Linked DNA regions of Macaca fascicularis. The protein of the gene in region 4 interacts with the protein of the main gene of each other region in a biochemical or structural test. Links are inferred from orthologs where the notes say so. Each region holds a gene or a part of one and is shown on either strand. Other genes may lie near its edges. The genes, in order: BAD, CDC25B, PRKCZ and YWHAZ.

Region 1 (7,905 bases), on a different chromosome or scaffold from region 4:
GCAAAGTACATCTCTAGGCAAGGGATGGAGGCTTTAGCCATAGGAACCCAGGGGACCTCACCTAGTACAGATGGGGAAGCAAAGGCCATGGCAGGGGTGGAAGGGCAAGACCCGGCTCTCTCAGTCCCCCATAGCTCGATGGAGCCAAGTGGGTGGTGGGGGCAGGGGTACTGAGGCAGTGCCATGGCTCCTACCTGGTGCTCTCACCCCGGCTGTGCTCCCAGGAGCAGCCCTCATCTTCACAGTGCCCAGCCCGGTCAAAGAAGTAGGACCGGGAGGCAAAGACCTGCCCATTGAGGATGTGGCTGGTGCTCTGGAGAAGGAAGCCATCATCGATACTTACTCCTGTCCCACACTGTTCTCCCTGCCCATCCCCAGATGCCAACCCAGGATTCCCAGCATCTGCCCCTCTCCACTGGGCCCACAGGGGAGGGTGCAGACCCTTACCAGGTCCTGTGGGGGCCGGTGTACCCGGAAGAAGCCCACCAGCAGGGTGGTGGGCAGCAGCTCCCACACGAAGAGGATGAGGCCAAATACCAGGTAGCCTTTGTTCCCCAGGTCATTTACCAGGTCCGCCTGTGGGAAGGCAGGGGCTGGTGCCAGTCTGCAGTCACGCCAAGGGGGCAGTGGGACAGGGCCCAGGCCAGCTGGGGCCAAGGTGCCACGGCTACTAAGGAGGTGGCAGACATGCGTATGCCCACCTGATCAGACACATTGTACCAGTCGTAATCGAAGGTGTCCAGTCGGCTCTGGGGGGCCAAGGCCAGTGCTGTCAGGTTGTAGCAGGCCCGGCTGGCATAGAGCAGGACCATGGCTCCACCCATCGCGGCCGCCTGGCACACACTGGTCCCCTGGCACAGGTAACAACAGAGGACCCTCAGGGAGAGAAGGCTCCCAGCTTCCTCTACACCCTGAGAACCGCTGCCCAGAGATCCCAAAGGACACCTGGGCATCAGTGCTGCGGCCCTACCTTGGCCTCCAGGTAGATGCTAGTGGAGGGGGCCCGCCTGGCGACGAGGCAGAGGCAGGCAGCAAGAGACAGCGCACAGATGACGAACAGGGAGTCGCTCACCAGGACGCGGACAAGCAGCAGGGCCCAGGGCTGTGCCCGGCGCCGATGGGAGAGCACAGCACACAGCACGTTCACCAGCAGAAAGAGCAGCGAGGCCCCCACAAAGGCCCCTCGGACAGCCAGCCTGCAGCCACAGCACAGTCAGCCCGGGCCCTCAACAGCCCTCAGCACTCACCACCTGCCCCACCTCCTGCAGGAAACCCCAGTGTCCACAGAACTCAGGGCATCCAGTCTGAGCCCTGTTCCTCCATTCTTATAGATGGAGAAACTGAGGCTCAAAGAGGTCAGAAGGTGACTGACAGCCATGGTACCTCGGAAGGGGCACCAACTGGAGTCAGAAGTCTCCGTCTGAGCCCCAGCTCTGCGACCTTGATCCTGATGCCTTACCTGGCTGGGCCTCAGTTTCTTCATCTCTCAAGGGAGGAGAGTAGCCTCTCAGGGAAATTGTACAAATGAAAGATGGCTGGGAAAGCTCTTTATAAACCGTAAGACACTGTACAAATGACGAGGGCATTGCGGCCCCAGGTCACCCAGGAGTGCATATGGCTTTGGTGCTTCCATGGACTGGAGCCTCCAGCTCACCCTCCATGGTGGATGCCACTGGGTTCCTCTCCCTCACACTACCACAACCATTCCTATTCTTGTGCCTTGCAGATCTGCAACGCCTCTGCTGAGCCATCTGCGCCAGGTGCTTTAACTTTTCCAAGCTCTTCCACAGACATTCCCTGGGTTGTCTTTGTCTCAGCCCTGAGAGGTGGGAAGGGATCTACATGGGACTGTCCCCTGCCCCTGACCTGGAGGTTGAGCCCACCAGTGTCCCGAGTACTTACAAGCCTCGGCTCATCTCCGGCCGACGCTTCGCCTTGGCCTTGAACACCACCTAGGAGCAGAGATGCCCTTCACTCCCGTGGGTCCTTAAGGCTTGCCACCTCCCACCCCCCACCCGGGACCACAGTTGGTTACCTGGGCAAAGTAGAGGTTCATAAGCGTCAAGGTGAAGAACTGCAGGCAGACGGGGCAGCAGTAGAGAAGCCAGAAGGGCAAGGGCCCCAGGCGGTTGGCGCGGGGAGTATCTCGGAAGTAGAAGGAGAAGAGAGTGGTACGCAAGGCAGCCCAGAGCAGACAGAGGGCCAGGAACACCGTCTGATAGCTGAGACGCTTGTGCCCATACAGAAGCACCAGCCAGAGCTGGGCATAGACGGAGAAGAAGAGCAGGGCATACAGGGTGGTGTAGGCAGCCGTCAGCCCCAGGGTCACAGCAGGTGGCAGCGCAGGCACCAGCCCGGCAGCAGGCACCAGGCCAGACAGGTTACTCTCCATGTCAGGGAGGGAGGCCTGAATCCCGGAGACAGAGAAGGAGGGGCTGTCGGCAGGGCCAGGGTAATAAATACGGAGGGGTGGGAATTGCAGGGTGCAGAGAGGGAGATGGGGCGCTGAGGAGGAAAGAAGTTGTGGCTGACAGGCCCCTCCTCCTCAACAGAGAGACCCTTGCCCTTGGGGAACACGGGCAGCCTGGGCCCCAGGCCCCTCACTCAGGGGCATGGAAGGGCAGTCTCTTCTCTCCAGGGCAGACCGGGTGGGGGTTGGGGGTGTCTCCTCCCTGGGCCTACCCCAGAGTCAGGGATGGGGGGATGCAGAGGCCCAAGGAGCGGAGTCCCTGGCCTCGGTCGCTCGTGTCGTCCTGGCTGGAGGGGGAGAGCCAGCCGATGCCCGTCGGGTCAGGGCAGCGGCCGCTGCAGGGGGCGCCCAATGCCCCGCTCTCCCCCTCCCCAAGCTGGGGGAGGCTCTCCTCCAGTAATGCGGATGGGGAGGGCCTCTGCCTTCTGTCCTTGTAATTCTCGAAAGCTGCCCCCCGCCCAACCCCCCCCCACCGCGTCCACTCTCCAGCCTCAAGGGGCGGGAGGAGGCGGATGCCAGGTCCTCAGGCCGCTGATGGGAGAGCCGGCTCAGGTCGTGGGGACCCGGGGCTCCGGCTCCCCGGCTCCCGCTGCTCCGCCCCCTCCTGCGCCTGCGCGGGCGCTGTTCGCTACGCAAATTGCGCAGGGGCCCGACCGGCTCCGCAGTCCAGCGCCGCACCCGGCGTGAAACCGTACGAGAATTGGCGCGAGCTGCGCCGCTGGCGGGCGCCCGGGGTTACGGGAGGCGGCTGGAGGGCGGCCGAATTGCGGGGGCCGTGCCGCATCCAGGGGGTCCCCGGGTGGGCTGTGCCTGGGCGGTCCGCCTTAACTTGTATGGGGGGCCGCCAATTCCCACGCTCCTCTCTCCTATACCCAAATCGGGGTCGTGCCACCCAGCCGGGGGCGGCAACGGATTCCCGTCCCTCGGCCTCTGAAGAAAACTTCCGCCCATAGCCAAGATGGCCCCCGGGCCCCGCCCCCGGGCCTGAACCCGCGGAGCCCCGAATCCCCAGCGCGGGCCCGCCCCCCGCCCCGGCGCGCCCGCGGCCCTGCTCACCTGGCCGGCCGCCTGCCAGGCCTGAAGCCCCCACGGATCCTACGGTCCACCCTCACCGGGTCCCCGGCCCTCCTCCCGCGCCCGGGCAGCCATCCCAGCCAGGGAGGAGGTTCCTCTCCTTATCTCCAGTGCCCCCGAGGTGGCGCGGGAGGTGTCCCCCGAGGCGGGCGGCGCGAAGCTTCCACGCCTGGGAGGAGGAGCGGGGAGCGGGACTTTCCGACCGGGCACCCAGTCCAGGCGGAGCGGTAACAATAGCAACAATAATCGCATCCGACGGCTGAGCTTCAGTTGTGGCTGTGCCAAGCGCCTTCGCCCGCAGTAATCACTCCCTTCACAAAGTTTTCACTGGCTCCTGGGGGAGCTGTCACTATCCCCACTTCACTGGGGGGAAACTAAGGTCCAGAGGGGCTGAAGGACTTGTTGGCAGAAGTGGGTCTCCAGGTTCCAAATGGGGACCCCAGAGAATCCCTCTCCTGCTCCCACACACGTCCAAGGTGTGAGGCAGCGAGGATATGAGCACCAGGGCTGCAGGAGGGAGAAAAAAGGCTGCGGGCGAGTAGCCGTAGGTCCGGCGGGGAGGCGGGGCCGGGCCGGGTTGACCCCGCCTCTGGACCTACCCGAGTGACGTTCCGAGAGGTGATTGGGCCAGGTCGCTGACAGTTCCCGTTGCCCAAGCAACTAGGGCCGGGAGCCCGGGGTGCAGGAGGGAGGCGGCAGGCCCGGGTCAGGGGCCTCGAGATCGGGCTTGGGGTGAGACCTGTGCGCCGTCACCACGGGCGGGGCGGGGCCTGGGTAGGGGCCTGGGTCCACCAGGGTTCTAAGGGGAGATTGAGGCCCTGAGCCGACAGCATCAGCTCCCTGCCAGGCCAGACCCAGCAGACAAATGAGGGCCCGGGAGGCCTGGCGGGCCTGGGGGCCCTAGGGTGGGAGAGGGAGCCAAGGGTACCTGCCTCTGCCTTCCAGGGCCACCGTTGGCCCCAGCTGTGCCTTGACTACCTAACATCTTGTCCTCATAGCCCAGAGCATGTTCCAGATCCCAGAGTTTGAGCCTAGTGAGCAGGAAGACTCCAGCTCTGCAGAGAGGGGCCTGGGCCCCAGCCCCGCGGGGAACAGGCCCTCAGACTCCGGCAAGCATCATCGCCAGGCCCCAGGCCTCCTGTGGGACGCCAGTCACCAGCAGGAGCAGCCAACCAGCAGCAGCCATCATGGAGGTAAGTACCCCACCACCTCCACCTGCCGGGTCACCTCACCCCCAGCCCACTGGCTCCCTGCATCCCAGTTGTATCCACGGGCACTGAAGGCTTTGGGTCGGTCCCTAACCTCTCAGAGCCCCAGTTTCCTCTTTTGTAAAACAGAGCAATTAATAACCACCATTGTAGGACTGTTGAGTTAATTAGCAGGAACATATAGGATGCACTTGATTACAGAGCTGGTGCACATTAAAGCTAAAAAATGGTAGCTGCCAGGCATGACGGATCACACCTGTAATCCCAGCACTTTGGGAGGCCAACGCAGGAGGATCGCTTGAGCCCAGAAGTTCAAAGCCAGCCTGGGTGACTTAGGGAGACTCCATCTCTTAAAATATGTATATATATATATGGCAGCTCTCAGTGTGGGGCCAGGACAGAAATTAGTGACAGGCAGGCAGGCAGTGATCCGAAAAGGAAAAGGGGCCTACCTAAGGCCATACCTGCCTGGCATTTCTTTCCTTAGAAGGTGGGGGCTGGAAGACTCCTTGGTGCCCTGCCCCAGGCTACATGCTTTCCCTGGGATTGGGCCTTCCAGCTCCCAGATGTGTTCTTTCTTGCCCCGAGGCTTGCGCCCACAGCAGGCCTGTCCTGGCACAAAGGCCAGGGGCAGGTGACCTCAAGGGGCAGACGGTCCTCCCAGACAGCAGGGCTGTGTGGGGTGGGAAGCACAGGCTCCAAGATGGAAGGATAGACACTGGGGTTCAGTGTCCATTTCTCAGTAGGCTCCACCACCCCTGTGCCCAGCACTGGCCTTGGCACCTGGAACAACAACATATATCTTCTGAACACAAAAACCAGGTCAAGCCAGGTGGGGTGGCCCATGTCTGTAGTCCCAGCAGCTCAGGAGGCTGGCTTGAGCCCAGGAATTCAAGACCAACCTGGGCAACATAGCCAGACCCCATCTCTAAAAATAGAAAACTAGGTCATGTCACTCTGGCACTGAAGCTTAAACGACCTCCTTCCCATTTTCAGGATTAAGAAGGCTTAAGAGGCCTCCTTCCCCTCCCTCTCTTACGCACAAACACACACACTCAGTTCTCTCAGATTGGATCCCATAGCTTGCTTTCTTTTTTTGTTGTTGTTGTTTTGTTTGTTTTGAGACAGGGTCTCGCTCTATCACCTAGGAGGGAGTACAGAGGTGTGGAGTACAGAGGTGTGACCTCAGCTCACTGCAGCCTAGAACTTCTGGGCTTAAGCGATCCTCCCACCTTACCCTCCCAAGTAACTGGGAATACAGGTGTGTGGACTACACCTAGTTAATTTATTTTTAACTTTTTCTTTTTTTTTTTTTTTTCTGAGACAGAGTCTCACTCTGCCACCCAGGCTGGAGTGCAGTGGTGCAATCTCAGCTCACTGCAACCTCCGCCTCCTGGGTTCCAGCAATTCTCCTGCCTCAGTCTTTCAGGTAGCTGGGACTACAGGCATGTGTCACCATGCCCGGCTAATTTTTTGTATTTTTAGTAGACATAGGGTTTCACCATGTTAGCCAGGGTGGTCTCTATCTCCTGACCTTGTGATCCGCCCGCCTCGGCCTCCCAAGGTGTTGGAATTACAGGCGTGAGCCACCACGCCCGACATTTTTCATGTTTTCATTAGAGACGAGGGCAGGGGCGGGTCTCCTTTTGTTGCCCAGGCAGGTCTCAAACTCCTGGGCTCAAACAATCCTCCTGCCTCAGCCTCCAGAACAGCTGGGACCACAGGTACATGCTGCCACACCAGCTCATTTTTTATTTTTTGTAGAGGTGGGGTCTTGCTTTGTTGCCCAGCCTGGTCTCGAATTCCTGGGCCCAAGAGATCCTCTCATCTTGGCCTCCCAGAGTGTTGGGATTACTGGCGTGAGCCACCATGCTCGGCCTCCACAGCTTTCTTTAACTTTCTGAGCTTGCACTTGGCTGTTTTTCTGCTCACAAACTCCCCCTGCTTTCTGCCCCCCGCCACACACACTCAGCATTGACTTGTGTCTCAGAGTGAGTGTTCACCATGTGACACAGGTTGTTCCAGTTGCTAGGGGGACCTCGGTGAACCCAAGCATCAGGAATCCTTGCCCTCGTGGAGCTTACATTCTAGTGACGTGGTGGGTCCATAAGCAAACAAGCACAAAAGTGCATCCTATCATGGATGAGAAGATTTGTATGGGGGCAGCATGTAAGAGTTAAGAGAAGCTGGGCGCGGAGGCTTACACCTGTAATTTCAACACTTTGGGAGGCTGAGGCGAGCGGATCACAAGGTCAAGACATGGAGACCAGCCTGGCCAACATGGTGAAACCCCATCTCTACTAAAAATACAAAAATTAGCCAAGCATGGTGGCATGCACCTATAGTCCCAGCTACTCAGGAGGCTGAGGCAGGAGAATCACTTGAACCCGGGAGGCGGAGGTTGCAGTGAGCCAAGATCACACCACTGCACTCCAGCCTGGCAACAGAGTGAGACTCCGTCTCAAAAAAAAAAAAAAAAAAAGAGTTAAGAGAATCCAGAGTCACGGGGCTGGGGGAGTGATGGTAGCAGAGGTGGTCAACACTCACTTGGTGAGAAGCACCACTGGAACCAAGGCCACAGGGATGATGGGAAGAGAGTTCCAGGCAGAGGGAAGGGCAGGTGCTAAGGCCCTGAGGGCAACACCTGCTCCCAGCTAGGGTGGGCCTAGAGGAGGGGGTTAGGAAAGGGTCTTTGGAGACCTAAAGGTGGAGGTCATTGTAAGGACTCTGACTTTGCCTTTGGGTGAAAACCTGGAAAGGCTTTGAACAGAGGCAGCATGGTCAGATTTAGACATTCAGAGAGTCACCAGGGAGGTGGTGAGAAGTAGCTGGCCTCTGGATTTATTTATTTATTTATTTATTTTTTTTTTTTGAGATGGAGTCTCGCTCTGCCGCCCAGGCTGGAGTGCAGTGGCCGGATCTCAGCTCACTGCAAGCTCCGCCTCCCGGGTTCACGCCATTCTCTTGCCTCAGCCTCCCCAGTAGCTGGGACTACAGGCGCCCGCCACCTCGCCCGGCTAGTTTTTTGTATTTTTTTTTTTTTAGTAGAGACGGGGTTTCACCGTGTCAGCCAGGATGGTCTCGATCTTCTGACCTCGTGATCCGCCCGCCTCGGCCTCCCAAAGTGCTGGGATTACAGGCTTGAGCCACCGC
Region 2 (7,954 bases), on a different chromosome or scaffold from region 4:
AACTTAATGCTGTGCCTCCCATCAGTTCCTCCCTAGGAATTCATCTTGTAGATAGCACACAGACACATAAGGGCATACTTATTGCATCATTGTAAAAGCTAATATCCTAAATATTCAGCATTAGGGGCTTGAGTAAATATATATTGTTATGGTACTAATATGGATCCATCTCCAAGTAAGATGAAGAAAGGTATAGAGCAATGGTTTTTATTTTTATTTATTTATTTATTTTTGAGACAGAATCTCACTTTATCACCCAGGCTGGAGTGCAGTGGCACGATCTTGGCTCACTGCAACCTCCACCTCCCGGGTTCAAGCGATTCTCCTTCCTCAGACTCCCAAGTAGCTGGGATTACAGGCGCACGCCACCATGCCTGGCTAATTTTCATTTTTAGTAGAGACGGGGTTTCACCATATTGGCCAGGCTGATCTCGAACTACTGACCTCAGGTGATCCACCTACCTTGGCCTCCCAAAGTACTGGGATTACAGGTGTGAGCCAGCATGCCAGCCTAGAACAATGTTCATATGCTGTTTGTATATTCTTTAAAATACAGATGGATTTACGCTTGTAAAGATATAGACCTGCAGCCACTAGCCCTAAGTGGCCACTGAACTATTAAATTAATTTATTTTTATGTTTAGAGTCAAAGTCTCACTCAGTTGCCCAGGATGGAGTGCAGTGGTGGAATTATAGCTCACTGCAGACTCAAACTCCTGGGTTCAAGCTAACCTCCAGAGTCACTTGGATTGTTTGTTTGTTTGTTTGTTTGTTTGTTTTTGAGACGGAGTCTTGCTCTTTTCACCCAGGCTGGAGTGCAATGGCGCGATCTTGGCTCACTGCAACCCCTACCCCCCAGGTTCAAGCAATTATCCTGCCTCAGCCTCCTGAGGAGCTGGGATTATGGGTGCCTGCCACCAGGCCCAGCTAATGTTTGTGTTTTTAGTAGAGATGGGTTTTCACCATGTCGGCCAGGCTGGTCTCGAGCTCCTGACCTTGTGATCCACCTGCCTCGGCCTCCCCAAGTGCTGGGATTACAGGTGTGAGCCACTGCGCCAGGTGAGTTGCTTGGATTATAGGCAGGGGCCACCACACCCGGCTAAGTTTTTTAAAAATGTTTTGTAAAGACAGGGTTTCACCATATTGCTCAGGCTGGTCTTGAATTACTAGCCTCAGGCAATTCCCCTGCATCAGGCTCTGGAGTTGCTGGGATTACAGGTGTGAGCCACAGTTCCAGCACTATTGAGCCCTTTAAATGTTGCAAGTACAAACTGAGATGTGCTGGGGGTGTAAAATGCATATTAGAGTTTGAAGACTTGGTATCCGAAAAAGTATGTAAAATATCTCAATAATTATATATTGATAACATGTCAAATAATATTTTGAATACATTACATTGAATAAAATATTACAGTAATTTCATGTTTCTTTTTTATTGTTTTAAATGTGGCTACTAGCATATTTTAAATTATGTATGTGGGCCAGGCACAGTGGCTCGCCTGTAATCCCAGCACTTTGGGAGGCCGAGATGGGTGGATCACCTGAGGTCAGGAGTTCAAGACCAGACTGGCCAACATGGCAAAACCCTGTCTCTACTGAAAATAAAAAATTGGCCGGGAATGGTGGCGGGCACCTGTAATTCCAGCTACTCGGGAGGCTGAGGCAGGAAAATCGCTTGAACCCAGGAGGCGGAGGTTGCAGTGAGCCGAGATCATGCCACTGCCCTTAAGCCTAGGTGACACGGTGAGACTCCATCTCAAACAAACAAACAAACAAAAAAACCCAGAACCCCTCTATGGTCTTGCCCACCTCCCCACTCACCGGCCCAGAGGTGACCTGACTGGGATTTCAAGGGATTCAACAGTATAATGCCCACCCTGCATTGTTGCCCTGTATGTTGGCTGGGTGAGGGGTAGGGGGGATACCTGCTGTGTTTATTTTGAAAACGCAAATCTTGGGGGTTTTATTTCTGGTTTTGGGGCTGGGTAGCCTCACAAGGGCACTTCCCCCTTCCCTCCTGGCACTAAGGGCAGTCACATCCTCACTGGAAGTAGTGGCTGGAGGTCCAGGGCATGACCCCTGACCCAGGGAGGATGAACCGGAAATTCAGTCTTGCAGAGCCCTCTGCACAGCACAGGAACTGGGCAAAATGTGGAGAAAAGGAAAGGTCATGGTTCCCACGTTGGCCACCCCTCTCAGGTGGGGCTGGGGTCTTCCCCTCCCCTTCACGTGCATTGGCCCACCAAGCCCCCCATCACCAGGCCGTCCCTTTTGCCACCCCCAAAAATTTGGGTCCGGGTGGCTGGGACTTCACTAGAAGGGGCGCTCCTGCCTTGCTGAACTGCAGCCCGCCCCCCAACTGCCCGCCCAGCCAGAGGCCACTTCTAACCTGGAGATACCGTATGCTATATGAAAGCTGCTTACTACCCACTGGCTTTTCAGTGCAGCCTTCAGCCCTCTTGTTCCAGGAGGCCTGGAAAACGGGCGGGGCTGGAAGGCATTTAGATAATTGGAAGATGGGCCTGGCGCTGTGGCTCATGCCTGCAATCCCAGCACTTTGGGAGGCCTAGGCAGGTGGATCACGACGTCAGGAGTTCGAGACCAGCCTGACCAATATGGTGAAACCCCGTCTTTACTAAAAATACAAAATCAGGTGTGGTGGCGTGCGCCTGTAGTCCCAGCTATTCGGGAGGCTGAGGCAGAAGAATCGCTTGAACCCGGGAGGCGGAGCTTGCAGTGAGCAGAGATCACCGAGTCACTCCAGCCGGGTTGACAGAGCGAGACTCCATCTCAAAAAAAAAAAAAAAAAAAAAAAAAAGGAAAAAGAAAAAGATAATTGGAAGATGCTTGGCTTAAATGAATGACAAATTCAGCCTCTCTGGTCTGGTCATCAAAGAAACACCAATTAAATAATATGGTGCCATTGCCACCAAGTTAGCTAAGTCATCAATGGGCGTGATACTTAATTAACTTCTCTGGTTGCTGACACCCTCCTCGACCCCCAGCCGCGGAAATCCATGCCTAGTTCCACCATTCAGAGCCTCTACTGGGGCTGCCGCGAAAATTGGACTGGTTGGGGTAACATCTAACCTGGGGTCCCCCGAAAGCGCCCGTCAATTCCGCTTGGGGGCCCCACTGCCCTCCCACCTCCTAAGCTGGGCGCTCCGCCTGCGAATGACGTTTTGCTGCTGCTCAGCGCAGCCACTTGCGGGGGCGGGGAGGCTGCGGGGTCAGAGGCGCCTGGAGGGAGCGAATCCTGGCCCACCGCCTGCCCAACCGCGTGACCTTGAACGAATTAATGAACTTCACGCCTCAACGTCCAGGTCTGTAAAATGGGGTATCTAACGCAGACCGCACAGCCCAGCTGTGTTTAGCAAACTTCCGGGAGCCGGTTGGAGCCTCTCCCCGTCCCTAGCGGTGATACCAGGTGACGATATGCCGCGGGGGGTCCAGCGGAGGCCACCCTAGGGCGTTGCTGCTGCCTTTGGGAGTATGGAGCTCCAAACCATGTCGCGACAGGAGGATTTCGGGAGGCCTGGATCCTCGCGCCAGGGGGATGTGCGAGGGTATGGGATGATTCCTAATTCCTCCGGCCCACCCAAAGCCTAGATATCCAGCCTCCGCGCCTCTCGCCCTGAGGGCCCCGCCCTCAATCCCGCCCTCCTCTAACCCGCTACCCCATTGGTGGCGTCCGGCGGCGCGGCCGCTGTTATTTTTCGAATATATAAGGAGGTGGAAGTGGCAGCTGCAACTAGAGGCTTCCCAGGCTGGTGCCTGAGCCCTGCGTCCCTCGCCCCCGCCCTCCCCGCATCCCTCTCCTCCCTCGCGCCTAGCCCTGTGGCTCTTCCTCCCTCCCTCCCTTCCCCCCCTCACCCCCTCCGCGCCCGCTGCCTCCCTCGGCCCAGCCAGCTGTGCCGGCGTTTGTTGGCTGCCTTGCGCCCGGCCCTCCAGCCAGCTTTCTGCCGGCCCCGCAGCGATGGAGGTGCCCCAGCCGGAGCCCGCGCCAGGCTCGGCTCTCAGTCCAGCATGCGTGCGCGGTGGCGCCCAGCGTCCCGGCCACCTCCCGGGCCTCCTGCTGGGATCTCATGGCCTCCTGGTGTCTCCTGTGCGCGCGACCGCTTCCTCGCCGGTCACCACCCTCACCCAGACCATGCATGACCTCGCCGGGCTCGGCAGGTAGGACACCCCAAGGAGGCTGGATATGGGGGTGAGAGGCCCGGTCTGGAGTCCTGGGCCTCCTGGAGAACCGGGCATGGTATTCGAATCCAGGAGGTGGAGTCCGGGGGAGGCATCCTGGGCAGTGGAGAGGTACAGGACATGGGAGGTGAGACCTGGGCTGTGTCCCCCACACAGGTGACCTCCAGGTGACCTGCTCTCAGTCTACACAAGCCTCTCCAAGTCTTTCCCCTCACTCCCTCCTCCCTCATTGTGCCTCCACCACGCTGCCTCCCTAATCTCTGCCCAGATAGCCACCATTTTGCTCCAGGATGGGATTCCCAAGCCTGGAGAGGGAACTTGAGGGTGGCAGAGCCGTAGGGCACTCACACATCCATACCCCCGCTCCCTCCACCCCAATTCTGCCCCCAGAATTAAGGCAATTAATTAAACACTGATCCTGCTCCCTAAGTGCAAGGGGAGAGCTGGGTTGTTCCAGTAGGAGAACCTGGTCTTGGTCCATCCTTCAGGAAGAATCCTGGAAAGGTGGGGGTCTGACAGTTTAGGGGAAGGCTCTCCGGGGCGTCTCGGCTAGACCACCAACCCCTAGGCTGGTCTCCATCCAGGCCACCTTGCTCACACCCTGGGCTCACCTTCCCCTGCACCTGGGAGGACCTTTCCTAAACCAGTCAACAAAGAGAAGCCCCTTTAGGACCTCTGTAGAATGAACCTGCCTTGAGCTGAGAAGAGGGCCGGCCCTCAGGGCCATTGCTTTCCCGCTGTAGCATTTCGCTCAGTTCTTTTCTCAGTGAGGGAGTGGGAACGTGGGCTAGCGAGGCTTTGAACCCCACCTTTCTCCTTTCCCGGGTCCCTGCTCCTTTCCCAGCGAAACCCCAAAGAGTCAGGTAGGGACCCTGCTCTTCCGCAGCCACAGCCGCCTGACGCGCCTATCCCTGTCTCGACGGGCATCTGAATCCTCCCTGTCGTCAGATTCCTCCGAATCTTCTGATGCAGGTGAGGCCCAGGGGAGCCTGGGGAGATCTGCCAGTGCCAGGAGAGTTTGTGGGGGCTGCCTGGGCCTCTCGATTTCCCTGCGGATCAAACTAACATCCTCCCCACAACCTGGTGGGCCCAGGAGCCTTTCCCCCACCCTCCACAGAGATGGGAGGAAGACACACCTCATGTGGGGCTCACCACACCCAATGTGGACTGGCTGAGTGGATGAGAGGGTGGGGCCCTCTACGCTAGATGAGATCTTACCTGTGTAAAACCACACACCAAAGTTCCTAAACCACAGCCCTACCTGGGAAGCACCCAGGGCTGAGTTGGTCTTGAGAACATTCTTAGTCTATAAACTCTTCTTTAAAAATCTGTTGTCTCTTCTAGAACAAATTGTTTGAAATCAGTTCAAGAAAAATGCTTAGCGAGCATTGTGGTTTAAAGACACATATAAAGAAATTTCCATAGTAAACAGGGAGTGGCATCCTGTACCATTTGGGAGACGATGTGTCAGCTCTCAGGGTCCATGATTGGGTTTTGTTTCATTTTCTAATGTGCCAAAGTCCAAACTAGAAACTTTTCTTTTTCTTTTTTTTTTCTTATTGGGACATGGTTGGGGAAAGTATACAGAAAGTGCCACTACTTTCAAACCAAGGTGCTCTGTCCCCTCAGGTCTCTGCATGGATTCCCCCAGCCCTGTGGACCCCCAGATGGCGGAGCAGACGTGAGTAGAGAAGGGAATGTCTACTACCAAGCAATCAGCACCTGCCTTTAAGAATCCTGGTTCTAGCATAAACTCACTGAGGAGGCCTGGGGAAACAGGCAGACCATGAGGTGGCTTCAGGATCCCCATGGCCGGGGGGCTCACTAACCTTCTCAGGCCTTGGGATTCTGCTCCCTGTCTCAGAGAAGGATCTGCTCTCATGGGAGCCAACCAAGAGTGGGCTCAGGGCCAGGGGTGGTGGGGACAGTGGCCATTGGGAGAGCAGATACTAGGCTACAGCCCATGTCTTGCAGGAATACAAGCCCAGCGTATGTCCCGTTTTTCTTTCTTGCCTATACCCTTTTTTTTTCTGTGAAATATTACAATTAAAAAAATATGATCCAGTTAATTCAGAACTTTAACTCACTCTAGGCCAAACAAAACACAGTTGCCTGCAGATTGATTTGGCTCTTGGCCAATGAGCAACCTTTGACTTCGATGACACTTGACCCTCTGGCCAGCCCTGGCCTAGGCTCTTTGTGCAAGGGAATGGAGAGAGAGTTGGTGGGCTCTGGCCTGGACAGACACCTTCCCCTTGGCTGTGGGCATGGGTGGTGTCTTGCAGAGCACAGCTGTTCCTGTCCAGTTGTTAAAGCCCAAGCAGCTGGGCAGCTGCCAGCCATTAGTAGGGACAGCTGGGCATCCCTAGCCTGTGCTGGGGACTGTGGTTTTGGGTTTAGGGTAGTGACTTGTCTTACCTCCCATTGCCTTTGATCAGACTACGCTGGGCTGCAGATTGGTTCACAAACAGGAAATGGGGAGAGGATTGGGTGGGGTCGGGGGACTGCAGGTTGGTTTTGGTGGCAGCACAGAGCAGTCTTGCCCTACCCCCAAGGCCCATGTGCAAGCCAATGAAATTGGTCATCCCTGATGCTGGGTCGGCTAGGCACAGCAGCCCCCCCAGGGGGGGATCCCCCTCATACTTTATCCCTGAGTGGTTCCCTGCCTCACACCTGCTTTGACAGTTATACAGTTTCTCAGAAAGAAGCTCTGTGTGTGTGTGTAGATGCACAAAAGCTCTGCGTGGCAGGTGGTCTCCTGTAACACGGCTGGGGGGTGGGGCCTCAGAGGGAACATGTGTTGGAATCCCTTGCCTGCTGGCCTCTTCTAAGGCAGAAGGAGGGGGTGGGACAGAGGCTGGTCCTGGAAAATTCCATAAGAGGGAGGAGAGGATGTGGCCCTGCACGTTTGTCACTAGGGGGTCTGCTGTATCAGACTGGAGCTGATTGGGGGACCCCTAAAGCAGGCCCCAGTCCTGGGAGGACCGGGAGCCAGGCCAGCTCCTCACAGGGGAGAGGAAGCCTCGCCTTGTTGTCCAGGCCCTGGAGACACCCACATTGCTGGGTGCCCCTGGCCTATCACCATAGGATGGATGGATGCCTTTCCTGGCAGCCATATGGCCCCGCTGAGGTGATTTGCATACAGGTGGAAGGCCTGGTGCAGGCTGGCGAGACTGTTGCCTTGGTGACGCCTCCCTGACCCTGTGACCTGCCCCAGCTGTCTCTATCACTGCCATTCTCTGGGCTTTCTTTCATTCAGGGCAGCCTTTAAAATTCTAGGCTGCCTCTTATCTCCCCCCTCCCCAATACCTGGGCCCCCTGATGGTTGGGCGTTCCTCCTACCCAACCCCTTCCACTGGCTTGAGCCCTGGCCCTTGTCTTTGCCCTTATTCCCCCCTGGACTGGAGACCTGGTGCTGGGAACTGGGGGACTGGGGGCCTGGTGCTGGGGTGGGTGATGGGTGCGAAGGGAGGATAGGTTGCATGGGACCCTTCTCTGTCCTAGGTTTGAACAGGCCATCCAGGCAGCCAGCCGGGTCATTCGAAAGTAAGTGTTCCCGGACCTCTTCCATCTACCACGGGCTTTCCCCTAGGATGTATAGGGCTCCGGAAGGGCATGCTACATGCTCTTGGTCCCTGCCCTGCCTCTCCCAGCTCTCACCTGTCCCCATTTCCTCCTGTAGAGAGCAGTTTGCCATCAGACGCTTCCAGTCTATGCCGGTGAGTGTCTTTGAGGCCTGACTGAGGCTTAGACATGC
Region 3 (7,427 bases), on a different chromosome or scaffold from region 4:
GACACAACCTGCATTCAGGTATGAAAGCAGAAGGCCAAAAATACCAGAAGCCGACAAGTGCACGAAAGATGCTGAACATCGCCAGTCATTAAAGAAATGTCAGTCAAAGCCACAGCTGCACACTCATTAGGACGGAGGTCATCCAAATAACGTGCATGGCTGAAAACCTGCAGAAACAGGCCCGTGCGCTGCTGGCGGGGAGGTGAAACGGTGGCTGCGAGGGAAACAGCCTGGTAGGTCCCCATCACCTGAACAGAGAACTACCACGTGACCCAGTAACGCCACTGCTAGGTTTGCACTCAAAAGAACTGGAAATAGACTCAAACAGATTCTTGCACACAAACCTTCACCATGGCACCACTCACAAGAGCCAAGGGTGGGAACACTGCAAATGCCCCTTGGCAGGTGCACGCGCAAACGTGGGGCCTCCACCGGACAACGGAACAACATTACCCAGCCAGGCAGAGAGAGGAAGGCCTGAGCAAGCAGCCACACGGATGGACCCCGGAGAAGCCAGACACTAAAAGCTCACACACAGCTCCATTCTGTCAAATGTGCAGAAGAGGGAGGTCCGCAGAGGCAGAAGGCACATTGGAGGCCACTGGGGCCAATGTAGAGGGGAAGCAGGGGGTGAGTATGGGGTCTCCTTTTGGGGTGAGGAAAATGTTCTGGAATCAGAGAGGTGATAGCTGCCCAACTCTGTACCTCAATGTGCTAAAAGCTGCCTAACTGTACACTTTATTTGTATATTTTATTCCTTTTTTAAGACAGAGTCTCATTCGGTCACCCATGCTGGAGTGCAGTAGTGTGATCTCGGCTCACTGCAATCTCCGCCTCCCAGGTTCAAGTGATTCTCCCGTCTCAGCCTCTGAGTAGCTGGGATTAGAGGTGTGCGCCACCACACCTGGCTAATTTTTGTATTTTTAGTATAGTTGAGTAGCTGGGATTAGAGGTGTGCGCCACCACACCTGGCTAATTTTTGTATTTTTAGTATAGTTGGGTAGCTGGGATTAGAGGTGTGCGCCACCACACCTGGCTAATTTTTGTATTTTTAGTATAGTTGGGTAGCTGGGATTAGAGGTGTGCGCCACCACACCTGGCTAATTTTTGTATTTTTAGTATAGTTGGGTAGCTGGGATTAGAGGTGTGCGCCACCACACCTGGCTAATTTTTGTATTTTTAGTATAGTTGGGTAGCTGGGATTAGAGGTGTGCGCCACCACACCTGGCTAATTTTTGTATTTTTAGTATAGTTGGGTAGCTGGGATTAGAGGTGTGCGCCACCACACCTGGCTAATTTTTGTATTTTTAGTATAGTTGGGTAGCTGGGATTAGAGGTGTGCGCCACCACACCTGGCTAATTTTTGTATTTTTAGTATAGTTGGGTAGCTGGGATTAGAGGTGTGCGCCACCACACCTGGCTAATTTTTGTATTTTTAGTATAGTTGGGTAGCTGGGATTAGAGGTGTGCGCCACCACACCTGGCTAATTTTTGTATTTTTAGTATAGTTGGGTAGCTGGGATTAGAGGTGTGCGCCACCACACCTGGCTAATTTTTGTATTTTTAGTATAGTTGGGTAGCTGGGATTAGAGGTGTGTGCCACCACACCTGGCTAATTTTTGTATTTTTAGTATAGTTGGGTAGCTGGGATTAGAGGTGTGCGCCACCACACCTGGCTAATTTTTGTATTTTTAGTATAGTTGGGTTTTCACCATATATTGGTCAGGCTGGTCTTGAACTCCTGACCTCAGGTAATCCACCCGTCTTGGCCTCCCAAAGTGCTGGGATTATAGGTGTGAGCCACCATGCCTGGCCCTAACTGTACATTTTAAAATGTCAAATTCTATGCCATGTGTATTTTACTATAATTAAAACAAAAAGGTGTATGAAGTCAGAATCAAGATTTCAACAAATAGGCCAAGAGCAGTGACTCATGCCTGTAATCCCAGCACTCCAGCAGGCTGAGTGGGGCAGAGTGCATGAGTGCAGGAATTCGAAACCAGCCTGGGCAACATAGTTGAACCCCGTCTCTACAAAAAACACAAAAAATAGCCGGGCATGGTGGTGCACGCCTGTAGCCCTGGCTCCTCTGGAGGCTGAAGTGGGAAGATCACCTCAGCCCAGCAAGAGGTGGAGGCTGCAGGAGGAGGTGGAGGCTGCAGGAGGTGAGCTGTGATCATGCTCTGCACTCCAGCCTGGGTGACAGAGTGAGACACTGCCTCTACAGAAAATACAAAATTATACAGCTGGGGGTGGTGGCTCATGCCTGTAGTCCCAACACTCTGGAGGCTGAAGTGGGAGGATCACCTGAGCTGGGGAGTTTGAGGCTACATGGGCTGTGATCAAGTCACTCCAGCCTGGGTGACAGAGTAAGACCCTGTTTAAGAACCTATTTCCAAAAAAAAAAAGATTTCAACAAATAAACCATTGATCCTATAATCAATAAACTTCTCCCCCAGAAACAGCTGGTGTGGGAAGATCTGCTACACAGAGCCGCGGCAGTTCAGCACGTCCCTCAAAGCTGGGGCCTTGTGCAGGACGGAGTGAGGCAGTGCCTCTGGGCAGCTTCCTGTCCTACCCCATCACCCGCCCGGTTCAGCTCAACCCCAGGGATTTCCTAACAAGGGTGACGACGTCCTCAAGCTCAACCGCAGTCTGCTGGAAGGCGACGTATCAGTGGTTGGCCACACACGCGAAGGTCGCGGAGACGATACCCATCTTCACCTTTTCAAAGCTTAGACACGAGTGCTCTCTGCGGTGGTCCGCTCACTGCCTGCGGTGTGCAGTGCACGGACAGCCGTGCGGGCCGGCAGCCTGAGAGCAGGAGCTGCACTGTGCATCCTGGCCGCGGAGTTGGCTGCGCCGTTTGGGTTTGTGGAGCACGCGTTGTGACATTCACACAACGGTGCCATCACCTGACCAGGCACTTTCCAGAACACGTCCCGGTTGTTACGCGACGCATCACTATTGATTTTGCGCAAACTCCATCAATACGAGGCCAGGACTCTCATGCCTGGATTAATTTTGCTAAAGCCTGGAGCATTCATTATGGCCTTCTAATGCCCTCTTCCCCAGGTGGCGGCCCCAGGGCGGTGCGTTCCCGGGACCCCGAGCGCCGTGAGAAGTGGCACCTACCTCGTCGTCATGCACCAGCTCTTTCTTCACCACTTTCATGGCGTAAATTTGGTCATTCTTCTTCAACCGCACCAGGAGAACCTTGGCGTAGCTCCCGCGCCCTATGACTCTGATTAGGTCGAAGTCCTGCAGCCCGAGCCCCTGAGAGATTTTGATTCCATCCATCCCATCGATAACTGGCTTAAGGTCCTAGGAAGGGAGAACAAGACCCCAGAAAGTGAGGGGAGAGGGGTCCCGGGAGATTCAGAGGACCACGCATCACTCATGCGGTCCCAACAGAGATCTGCTCCTCAGAGCCTAGAGCCTCACGATCCCAGTCTCAGCTCTGCGTCCCACAGATCCCACCCCCACACTCCCATCTAAACCGGGGCACAAAAGGTGAGAACTTCAGGCTGTGCTTCTGAGGAAGGTGCTAGAAAGTCGGAAGCTGCTCGTTTCCACAGACCATGGCTCTGGTCACAGCTGCCAGTGGGAGGGACCCCCAGGCCTTCAGCCCTACCAGTCGGGCTGAAGAGGTGGCCACTGGGACATGCGGCCCAGGGCCTGGGCCCATCCTTCCCCATCAGGGCCCTCCCTCGGGGAAGGAAGGTAAAGCAAACGTAGCTAATGCCTGCCAAGAGCTCCCAAACCGGCAAGCACACATTATTAGAAATAATTATTAGAAATATACAGAAGAAAGGCGCTCCGAGGAAAAAGAGAAGCCTCGGCCTCCTGCAAGCTACACCAGGCAAGGATGTCGGGGTGGAGGAGGTAGTTCGCTAGGAGGTGCTGTTCTGTGCAGCAGAATGGATTCTGCTTTTTTTGAGACAGGGTCTTCCTCTGCCACCCAGGCTGGAGTGCAGTGGCGCAATCTCGGCTCACTGCAGCCTCCACCTCCCAAGCTCAGGCGATCCTCCCACCTCAGCCTCCCAAGCAGCTGGGACCACAGGCCCATGCCACCATGCCCAGCTAATTATTTTGTATTTATTTTTGCAGGAATAGGGTTTCACTACGCTGCCCAGGCTGTTCTCAAGCTTCTGGACTCAAGTGATCTGCCCGGCCCAGCCTCCCAAAATGCTGGGATTGGAGGTGTGAGCCACCGTGCCCGGCTTTGGATTCTGCTTTCTAAGTGACCCAGCCTCCCTCCAGACACAGGACGGCCAGGAAGGAGCACGAGTTGTGAGGGTGGTATGTGCCGCTGCTCTGGAAAGGTGTGGGCTTTGCCAGCGCAGCCCTTTCTTGGGTTTTACGAGCAGAGGCTGAGAACACAGCAAGCTCTTCTGTTCCCTTCTCAGGGTTTGTGGTGCAGAGCTGGCCACAGACGCGAGGCTCAGTTGAGCCTCTTCGCTTGAGTTGGGGAAGGACGTGAAAAGGCATTAGAGGGGTTTGCCAGGACGGCCAAACGAGGCAACGAAAGGAAGGCCGTGGTGCAGACACAACTTGATAAAAATTACAGCTCAAAAGCCAGCCCCTGGGCCACTGTACTGCCTGGGTGGAGAGGATGTGGGGCGCGGCTTCCCCCCAGGGTGTGGTCCCCAGACCACCCGCTGGGACAGCTGCCTCCAGGGAATCACCAAGGATGTGCCTGAAATAAGACCCAAGAACAAGGGCTTCTTTCTAGACACCCACACCCGTAAAGATTAGCAACATCCCGGACCGTATATTTCACATCCAGATTTATGTGACTGCCCCAGAGGCAGGCTCACAGACTTCCAAGAGGACGCTGGAAAGGTAGCGAGCTGCTCCGCAGACTCACCTCAGAGTCGTCTTTAATGCTGTCATGTTTCCGGGATGAGGAAATGTAAGCAACTGGCGAGAGAGGGAGGAAGAGGCGTTACGGTGTCGTCAGGAACGCGCTGGGAACACAGCGACCCCGTGGGCCCTGCTCCTCCACCAGGCGACGGTGAAGGGCAACTCTACACAGCAGCCATGTCTGATTCTATTTTAGAGTCTTTTGAAAATGCAGCTTCCTGGGCCCCACTCAGACCTGCCGACTCTGACCATGGGACCTGGGGATGTACATTTGTGACACACGCCCCCAGGGGTCCATCTGCAAATAATTAGTCATCAGATTTTGGTGTCTAGTGAATGGGTGGGTGGGGCAGGAGGGGATGTCTAGTGAAGGGATGGAGGATGACTAGATGGGGGATGAATGGAGGCCTGGATGGAAGACGGACAGATGGAGAGGTCAGTGGACAACAGATGGATGGATAAATGGAGAGGTCAGTGGACAAGAGATGGATAGATGGAGAGGTCAGTGGACAAGAGATGGATAGATGGAGAGGTCAGTGGACAATAGATGGATGAATAGATGGAGAGGTCAGTGGAAAATAGATGGATAGATGGAGAGGTCAGTGGACAATAGATGGAGAGGTCAGCGGAAAATGGATAGATGGAGAGGTCAGTGGACAATAGATGGATAGATGGAGTGGTCAGTGGACAATAGATGGACTGATGGAGAGATCGGTGGACAACAGATAGATGGATGCAGAGGTCAGTGGACAATAGATGGAAAGATGGAGACGTCAGTGGACGATAGATGCATGGGTAGATGGAGAGATCAGTGGACAATAGATGGAGAGGTCAGTGGACAATAGATGGATGGATAGACGGAGAGATCAGTGGACAACAGATAGATGATGGATGGAGAGGTCAGTGGACAATAGATGGAAAGACAGAGACGTCAGTGAACAATAGATGGATGGGTAAATGGAGAGGTCAGTGGAAATAGATAGATGGAAAGATGGAGATGTCAGTGGACAATAGATGGATGGGTAGATGGAGAGGTCAGTGGACAATAGATGGATGGATAGATGGAGAGGTCAGTGGACAACAGATGGATGGAGAGGTCAGTGGACAATAGATGGAAAGATGGAGACGTCAGTGGACAATGGATGGGTAGATGGAGAGGTCAGTGGACAATAGATGGATGGATAGATGGAGAGGTCAGTGGATAATGGATGGATGGAGAGATCAGTGGACAACAGATGGAAAGATGGAGACATCAGTGGACAATAGATGGATGGATAGATGGACAGGTCAGTGGACAATAGATGGATAGATGGAGAGATCAGTGGACAATAGATAGATGGACAGATGGAGAGGTCAGTGGACAACAGATGGATGGATAGATGGAGAGGTCAGTGGACAATAGATGGATCGATAGACACAGAGATCAGTGGACAACCGACAGATGGAAAGACGGAGACGTCAGTGGACAATAGATGGGTAGATGGAGAGGTCAGAGGACAATAGATGGATGGATAGATGGAGAGGTCAGTGGACAAGAGAGAGATGGATGGAGAGGTCAGTGGACAATAGATGGAAAGATGGAGACGTCAGTGGACAACAGATGGACGGATAGATGGAGAGGTCAGTGGACGATAGATGGATAGATGGAGAGGTCAGTGGACAATAGATGGATGGGTAGATGGAGAGGTCAGTGGACAACAGATGGATCGATAGATGGAGAGATCAGTGGAAAATAGATGGATGGATAGATGGAGAGGTCAGTGGACAATAGATGGATCGATAGACACAGAGATCAGTGGACAACAGACAGATGGAAAGATGGAGACTTCAGTGGACAATAAATGGGTAGATGGAGAGGTCAGTGGACAATAGATGGATGGATAGACGGAGAGGTCAGTGGACAAGAGAGAGATGGATGGAGAGGTCAGTGGACAATAGATGGAAAGATGGAGACGTCAGTGGACAACAGATGGACGGATAGATGGAGAGGTCAGTGGACGATAGATGGATAGATGGAGAGGTCAGTGGACAATAGATGGATGGGTAGATGGAGAGGTCAGTGGACAACAGATGGATCGATAGATGGAGAGATCAGTGGAAAATAGATGGATGCAGAGGTCAGTGGACAATAGATGGATGGATAGACGGAGAGGTCAGTGGACAAGAGAGAGATGGATGGAGAGGTCAGTGGACAATAGATGGAAAGATGGAGACGTCAGTGGACAACAGATGGACGGATAGATGGAGAGGTCAGTGGACGATAGATGGATAGATGGAGAGGTCAGTGGACAATAGATGGATGGGTAGATGGAGAGGTCAGTGGACAACAGATGGATCGATAGATGGAGAGATCAGTGGAAAATAGATGGATGCAGAGGTCAGTGGACAATAGATAGATGGAAAGATGGAGACGTCAGTGGACAACAGATGGATGGGTAGATGGAGAGGTCAGTGGACAACAGATGGATGGATAGATGGAGAGGTCAATGGACAATAGACGGATGGATGGAGAGGTCAGTTGACAACAGATGGAAAGATGGAGGCGTCAGTGGACAACAGAT
Region 4 (7,427 bases):
AATGTAGAGCAGCAATAAAATAGAACTCAGTCGAATTAACTGAATCACTATTAAGATTACTGAACTGCAGTTGCCAACTGTTATGAATGTTAGACACACAATTTTATACTGCTTCCTGTCGTAGACTTCCTATAAAGTCATTCTTTGCCTATAGCAGTGGATTTTAAATTTTAAAATGAAATCTTTGAAAATCTGATGGTTGGCATGGACCTTCTGCCCCAGAAAAATGCACAATCTTAAAGGCTTCGTCCATCTTCTAAATTCCATTCATGGACTATGAGTTAAGAGACCCCTGCACTATTACAGGCAGGCTCACACTTTTAAATAGAACTGAAAAGCTAAGATAAACAGGACACAAAAGGTAGTCAAGGTGCTTTACCTCTCATTCCCCACAACCCTGGGGGATGAGAATTATTCCTATTTAATTGAGCTTAGTTTTCTCAGAGGGACTGAGTGATTTCCTCAGGCCATGCATCTATTAAATGGTAAAACTAGTTTGATTCAGTATCTTGAGCTCCATTATTCACCTCGACATACTTCTTTGAGTTTGAAATAGTCTTCCTAGACTGTGTTTCCTTGGTATTCATTTCATCAAGTGCAAGATAAAAACTACCCAATTTTTGGCTGCCATCTTTCAGGTTTAAAGAGGTGCTAGTGTTGAGTCCCTCCCCAACTACCAAGAGAGTTTCTGTCTAAGCATCTGGCAGGAAAGGCAGATTGCATTAGTTCACATATTGCAGTTTCAAATTAACACATGGAAGAGAAGAACTCGAAGTTCTTTTACATAATGAAAAGTCCACCTTGTGAAGAACGTGCCAGTGACCACTTTCCACGGTAATGCTCTATTAACTCTTGTAATAAGCAACATGGTCCAAGCTCTTTGCTTATTAAATGGTTAAACAATTGATAAATACATGTAACCAAAATGGGTTACTAAAAAGTTCTTCAGAAAAACTCAGAACGTTGGAGATTAGCTGCTTTTTGTAGGAAGAGTATATTTTCATAGCTATTATAAAATAGGTGCTCAATATAAAAAATCTGGTTATCACTAATGCCACCAGCCAATACCATTAATTCTGCAAAGGGATTACCTGCTTATTTTTCTCAAATTAAAGTGTGTGTATATATATATGTATATGTGTATATACATATATATATCTCAAAGCCCAGAAAAGGCTGGAGTAATAAAAAATTATAATTGATTTTTTTATCATGTAAGATCTCAAATATATAATTTAAAATATTTTTAATAATCATTAAGTAACAATGATTCAAAAACTTTCTCTAGTAGAAATACCAGTTCTGCTACACTTTATTCTTCCATTTCACTAAAAAGGGGAAAAGGAATTTTATGCAATGTTTCCAGAGTCGATGTGACCTATTTGAAATAGATGGTAGGAAAAAGAAGCCTATTATCTGTAAATATCAAATTTTCCCAAGCAGAAAAAGAAAAAGCCAGGGAAATTTTGCAGTGCTGCTGACCTAATTCTATCCTTTCTCAAAAGAAGCCTTTCTGCTTGTTTAACAAATATTTGAGCATCTACTACACGTTCTGAGTATGCAAAGATCACTAAGTCTTACTCTTAAAAAGACTAAGGCTGGAAGCCAAAGCTTGTTTAGAATTCTCTTCGAACCCACTTGTATAGTAAAGAAAACTCTCATTCATCCAAACTTTCAAAGTATAAATACCATAGACTTTTTAAGAAGCCAGTGCTATTCTAGAGGGTAACGATGTGAGTAGGGACCAGAATCAAACTCCTTAATAATCATAACAACAAGAAGCTATTAATATTAAGAGATTATCTTGTCATCCTCATCTACTGGTTCTATGCAAAAAATTTTTCTTGATAAGGAAACCAAAGGGAAGCATAGTCAAAACTGCTACAAGTTGGGCCAGACATGGTGGCTCACCCCTGTAATCCCAGCACTTTGGGAGGCTGAGGTGAGTGGATCACCTGAGGTTGGGAGTTAGACCTGACCTGGTTACCAGCCTGGCCAACAAGGTGAAACCCTATCTCTACTAAAAATACAAAAATTAGCTGGGCGTGGTGGCGCACGCCCTGTAATTCCAACTACTAGGGAGGTCAAGGCAGAAGAATTGCTTGAACACGGGAGGCTGAGGTTGCAGTGAGCTAAGATCATGCCATTGCACTCAAGCCTGGGCAACAAGAGCAAAACTCAGTCTCAAAAGAAACACAAAAAAACAAACCTGCTACAAGTCTTTTCCCAGGAGAAGACTCACAATGACAGGAACTTTTATACTTTGTATATGGAAAACATGCACATACCTACCTGGTATTGCAAATAAGCGTGTTATTAAAAGGTAAATGTCACATTCCTTTTTATTCCTAAAGTTGACTTTTGTCTTAAGGGAAATGTTAACTTGTAACATATCCTTTGAAGCCCAAATAAAAACTTTTTGATCAAGTGTAACACCAGACTGAACAAAACTGAGTTACACTTACACAGATATTAGTAAGGAGAGCAAGGAAAAAAAAAAAAAAAAACCCAATACATTTTTTATTATAGGAAAAAAATCACATTTTCAAAATTTAAATATTCTTACTACCTTAGCAAAATCACAAGATAGGTATTTGTCACTTGGCCTCAATAAAAGCAAGATATTCCTTTTTTCAACTTAGATACAAATAACAGCTATCATTGTAAAGGTTTCAATAAGAACAACAAAAAAAAAGCCCCAAGACAGATGTCTCATTGAGTTTGTGATTGTGAACCCAAATAAGCATGTTTTAAAAAATCACTATTATTTTAAAAGACAGTGTCAAGTATCATTTGAGAAAAATACAGTTTAGGAACTGATGCTATTCCATTAGTAAATACAAGTGTAAAGAAATGATAGCATCATCACAACTGTAACAAAAACCCCAAACCCACAACCACATCAGACATTATCCTATTGCTCATTACAGTACTTCTTCCATATAAATAAGGTTCATATAGTAAGTAACACACCTGGATTTCCATACTGAGTCCCACATTCAGTAACCTGTCCAGAAAAATCGCGATGCTGCTGCCCCTCTTTGTATATCAGAGTCCTGCCATACTGATTAAGTGTAACCATTTAGCAAAATCACTTTAAATATTATTCGAAAAACTGCCAGCTTGGATTTTCTACTAGTTTATCCTCAAATTTAAACTATTCTTGATCAAAAAGCCCTACTTTGTATGACAGATTAAAATTAACCAAAATGTAGTTTAATCATTTTAAGCGCAGTGCTTCAACACAGTAGGTACTGAATACTTAAAATACTCGATTCAAACTGGAAAAATCAAGCTTGAGTTATTCATAACCTTTCATCATGGTTGCGAGTGTTCAAAATTTATTTTCAAGAATTCAATGCAGGAAAGAGGTTTCATAGTCGTGACGCCAGAGTTTTCTGCATGGCTGACTCATTACATTAACATTATAGCGGCTAATCCTGAGAAGAGTACTATTTCTACAATCAGTATCCTATTACATCTCTCTTACATAAAATATGTAAAATTCCTTTATCCATAGATGTACATTTAAGATAACCAGCTATAGAGCTACCACAAATGTTCTAACCATAAGTAAAGCAGTAATACTATTAGTTTATCTTTTCAATAATACTAAAGTGTGTTATTTTTAAAACTGAACTGTTTCATCATCATTATTACAATTACTTTACATACACATATCTATAATTGTCTTAACATCTTTTTAGTTATGACACCATGAAGACTTTTAAATCTGAACACACAATGTTTAGAAGGAAAAGATAAACCGAAGAAAACGTTGAGAGTAATGTAACTGATACTCATAGGAACCTTACAGTATAATGAAGCCAGATTCAATTGATTCTCACCAGTACATCATTGCAGATATCTCTTAGCTCCGTCTCAATTTTCTCTCTGTATTCTCGAGCCATCTGCTGTTTTTTCTCAGCACCTTCCGTCTTTTGTTCAATACTTGAGACGACCCTCCAAGATGACCTACGGGCTCCTACAACATTTTTATAAGCAACTGAGAGAAGATTCCTCTCCTCATTGGATAATTCAGCTCCTTGCTCAGTTACAGACTTCATGCAGGCTGCCATGTCATCATATCGCTCAGCCTGCTCGGCCAGTTTGGCCTTCTGAACCAGCTCATTTTTATCCATGACTGGATGTTCTGCAGGGGGGAAAAAAGGAGTATTTAAAATTTTTCCCATCAAAATAAACAGACTCAAAATTATACCTGTGGTAAATGAGTTTTTTAAACCTGAAATCTAACTGCCTGTGGAAGACTGTTCACATGAAGAATTAAAATGCAGCTTCACAAAAGGATAGTCAGAAAAGGAAAAAAAATTCAGCATACTCAGCATCAGAGGTAAACTTTCAGCCATTAACACATCAGTGTAGCAAAACTAAAATTTGTCCATTAGATACAGATTTCACATGTCAAAATTACTTTCAAAAGCTGCCTCAAAAACTTACCCCAATCTTACTTGACCAAAATCTCAACTCATTTCCAATACCACTAAGTGATCTGAAATTAAGCAGCTTTTCTTCCATAGTAAAAGCATTGTTTACAGAGAACATCTGGATTTCTATCATATTTCCAGAATCATAATTCTTGTCAGTTTAACTCATGTCTTTTTACTTTCATAATACTTTCGTCAGGAGTGATTAAATTTTAGTTTTAGTGTTACCCCCACCCCAAACCTACTAGATCTCTGCAACATTTGCCAGCCAATAATAGCATAACAATTTGGGGGGAGGAATGACCAAACTGTTTGTTTTCAGATATTTTGAGTATAAATCCACCACAAAGGATCAATATCTGACCCTAATGCCTCAACTCCTTATCTTGTTATATGTCCACATGCTTTAAAAATATCCACAAGTCATGGCACTTCAACTCTTACTGTGAGTACTAGAATATATCACGTTGGAAGTACTTGATTTACAAGTGTTTCCAATGTCATTGCTCCAGTTGAAATGTAGAAGTGCTGCATTTTGCGTCTAGCTGTCATACTGTAATTGGATGTTATCACTCAAGCTGTTCTTCACCATGACTATCCACCTAATTCTCTTTCCCTCGCGTTTTAGTTTCCTAGACCTTTTCTATTTACCTCAGCTACATTTTTCTGGAAAGATATCCTTTGGCAAGTTGGCAAACAGCACAAAGATACTAATCCACACAGCGATACCACACCAAAAAAAAAAACGACTTTAGAGAAAAATATACACCCTGAATGAAGTGCACTTTTAAATTAGGTGAACGGAAGAGTTCACCTTGGAAGCTGACTCTCGAATATTAATCATCTTTTGCCTTCCCAGGGAAATCTCACAGTATTTTTTTAACTAAATGAGAACAGGTCCCCACATTTTAAACAAATTACTTAGCCACTTTGGATACAAGGTACTGGCTCAATACGTAAACTATTTAACCTTTATGACGGCATTATTTTCCTCAGGTGTCTAAATTACTAATTTTTCCCTTAGGATCTCAGAAACAGTCTCTGGTTAATTCTGCTTCTAATGAAAAATGATTTAAACCAGTACAAAGGATTCTCTACCCAATCACTTCGGTACAAGAGGAAGTGGATAAGGTTTCTCACACAGTAATGAGTGCTCCAAGGCCTCGCCTCTACACTGCGGGCAGGACTCACCGCACCCATTTAACCCTTACCTGACTTGAGACGTCGACTACGGCGAAACGAAAACCGGCAGACCCGGACTTTAAAGTGAAAATCCTCCGGTCCACTTATCCGCAACCACCCCCCTCCAGGCTCCGCCCAAGTCGGAGCCTCCGCTCAAGTCCCCGACTCTCCTTTGTCATGGCGGATCTGTGTCAGGGAGCCCAACCTACTGCAGAGTGTTAATTCCCCCCTCCTCCGACCGAAGCCAGAGGGAGGAGCAGCCCGCGCCCCCGCCCAAGCCGTGGCGCGGCGGGTGGGGGGGAGCGAAGCCGCCCGACCCCGGGGCAGAGACGCCACAGCCGCCCGCAGAAGCGGAACCACTACCAGCCCCGCCACGGACACACCCCGCTCTCCCACCCAGCGCCTTCCCCGCCACCGATCAGCGCCGATGCCCGTGTACAGCGTCTCTAAGGGACCGACAGCTGCAGGTGGGGGAGGGGACGAGAGCCACACCCAGCAGAGCGGGCCACCAGCGGCTATGCTCAGGGTCACCCGCCCCCAAAGCAGGATATGCGTCCCCAAACCGAGCGCAGGGAACCTCCAGTTCTAGTCCATCACGCACGGAAGCCGACGGCGGGCTCCCCACCCCGCTCTCTACCCCCACCTGGACTCGCAGCCCCCGTCCGCACCTCCTCCGCCCGTTCGAAAGGAGCAAAAAAAGTCAGACCCATCCCCCACCCCCACCAGGAAATTTCAAGTCCTTCCTCCCACCGCGGAGCCCACGAAATTCAGCTCTAGGTCGCAGGAGAGCCCCACCCCAAAACCTCACCCCGCAGTGTGCTCCCCCTCGCGCCGGCGCGCGGCCTCGCCCCGGTCTACCTGGCGGGCGCCGCCGTGCCAGGCCTGGGCTCCGGCCCGCTCTCGGCCAGGCCTTTCCCTCGCTCCTGGATCCCCGAGGCCCCCGGCCCCTCCCCGCCGCGCCGCCGCCTCCCGGGGTGGGGGAGGGCCGGGTCCCGCCGCCGCAGCGCCCAGCGCAGAGGCTGCGCGAGGGGGAGGGGGGCGGGGGAGGGGAAGGAGGGGGCGGCCGAGGGAGAGAAGAGGGGGCGGCCTCACCTGCGCCACTGCGATGCCCGCCGCCGCCGCCGAGTCATTATCTCGGGCGGAAGCGAGAAGGGCGACGAGGGAGGGGGTGGGAGCCCGCAGAGACAAGGGTGGGGACGGATCGCGGCCGGCGGCGCCCCGGCCATGCCTCGTCCACCTTTGGGAGCCGGCGACAGGGGGATCCCCAGGGATCTCGCGTGTGGGCGCCCTCCCCACCCCCGGGAGCAGGACGGGGGAGCGAGCACCGATCGGCGCCGGGGCGTCGATGCGGAAGCAAGGAGTCGGAGGCGGCCGCTAGCCGCCCGCCCGAACTCAGCGGAAGAGGAGCCGCCGCCCGTGTCCGCTGAGGAGACTCCGCCTCAGCCCGGCGCCGCCACCGCGGGGCTAGTGGGGATGAGAGGACGGAGCGAGGACGGCTCCCACGCGTTCGGAAGGCTGGCCTGGGACAGGAAGGAGCGGGGCGCGGCGGCGGCCAGGTTCCTCACCTGTGTCCGGAGTGGGTGGTGGCGGCGGACAGACAGGGGCTCAGCAGTCTCTGGGCGGCGGCGGCAGCAGCAGCGGCGAGGCTGAGACTCTGTCCCTGGATCTCGCTGCTCACAGGCTACAGCCGCTCCGCAGACACGGGGTTTCCTCCAATCACCAGCCCCGGCAGCAGGGGCACCACACGCACGATGACGTCAAACGCTGCTATGGCAACCGTTGATTGGTGCCCACAGCGAT

What was found.
Region 1: the proteins of YWHAZ (region 4) and BAD form a complex in vitro, tested with the Homo sapiens proteins (3 studies listed by BioGRID). The link is inferred for Macaca fascicularis from reciprocal best matches to the Homo sapiens genes YWHAZ and BAD.
Region 2: the proteins of YWHAZ (region 4) and CDC25B form a complex in vitro, tested with the Homo sapiens proteins (2 studies listed by BioGRID and IntAct). The link is inferred for Macaca fascicularis from reciprocal best matches to the Homo sapiens genes YWHAZ and CDC25B.
Region 3: the proteins of YWHAZ (region 4) and PRKCZ form a complex in vitro, tested with the Homo sapiens proteins (2 studies listed by BioGRID, with this or other methods). The link is inferred for Macaca fascicularis from reciprocal best matches to the Homo sapiens genes YWHAZ and PRKCZ.

The regions. Positions count from the first base shown.
Region 1 is NC_088388.1:10,106,524-10,114,428, forward strand, and holds the start of BAD (bcl2-associated agonist of cell death), read left to right. Parts: upstream 1-3,485; 5' UTR 3,486-3,844; exon of another isoform or gene 3,845-4,107; intron 4,108-4,212; exon of another isoform or gene 4,213-4,318; intron 4,319-4,542; 5' UTR 4,543-4,550; coding exon 4,551-4,737; intron 4,738-7,905. Other genes in the region: integral membrane protein GPR137, read right to left, coding at 195-313, 448-576, 702-851, 971-1,196, 1,903-1,952, 2,036-2,392. UniProt on the Homo sapiens protein: Promotes cell death. Successfully competes for the binding to Bcl-X(L), Bcl-2 and Bcl-W, thereby affecting the level of heterodimerization of these proteins with BAX. Can reverse the death repressor activity of Bcl-X(L), but not that of Bcl-2.
Region 2 is NC_088384.1:83,491,278-83,499,231, reverse strand, and holds the start of CDC25B (M-phase inducer phosphatase 2), read left to right. Parts: upstream 1-3,179; 5' UTR 3,180-3,298; coding exon 3,299-3,323; exon of another isoform or gene 3,324-3,556; coding exon of another isoform or gene 3,557-3,566; intron 3,567-3,753; exon of another isoform or gene 3,754-3,974; coding exon 3,975-4,176; intron 4,177-5,041; coding exon 5,042-5,169; intron 5,170-5,826; coding exon 5,827-5,878; intron 5,879-7,701; coding exon 7,702-7,743; intron 7,744-7,879; coding exon 7,880-7,916; intron 7,917-7,954. UniProt on the Homo sapiens protein: Tyrosine protein phosphatase which functions as a dosage-dependent inducer of mitotic progression. Directly dephosphorylates CDK1 and stimulates its kinase activity.
Region 3 is NC_088375.1:232,631,632-232,639,058, forward strand, and holds part of PRKCZ (protein kinase C zeta type), read right to left. Parts: intron 4,924-7,427; coding exon 4,871-4,923; intron 3,325-4,870; coding exon 3,136-3,324; intron 1-3,135. UniProt on the Homo sapiens protein: Calcium- and diacylglycerol-independent serine/threonine-protein kinase that functions in phosphatidylinositol 3-kinase (PI3K) pathway and mitogen-activated protein (MAP) kinase cascade, and is involved in NF-kappa-B activation, mitogenic signaling, cell proliferation, cell polarity, inflammatory response and maintenance of long-term potentiation (LTP).
Region 4 is NC_088382.1:110,572,571-110,579,997, forward strand, and holds part of YWHAZ (14-3-3 protein zeta/delta), read right to left. Parts: intron 7,311-7,427; exon of another isoform or gene 5,657-7,310; intron 4,154-5,656; 5' UTR 4,143-4,153; coding exon 3,849-4,142; intron 1-3,848.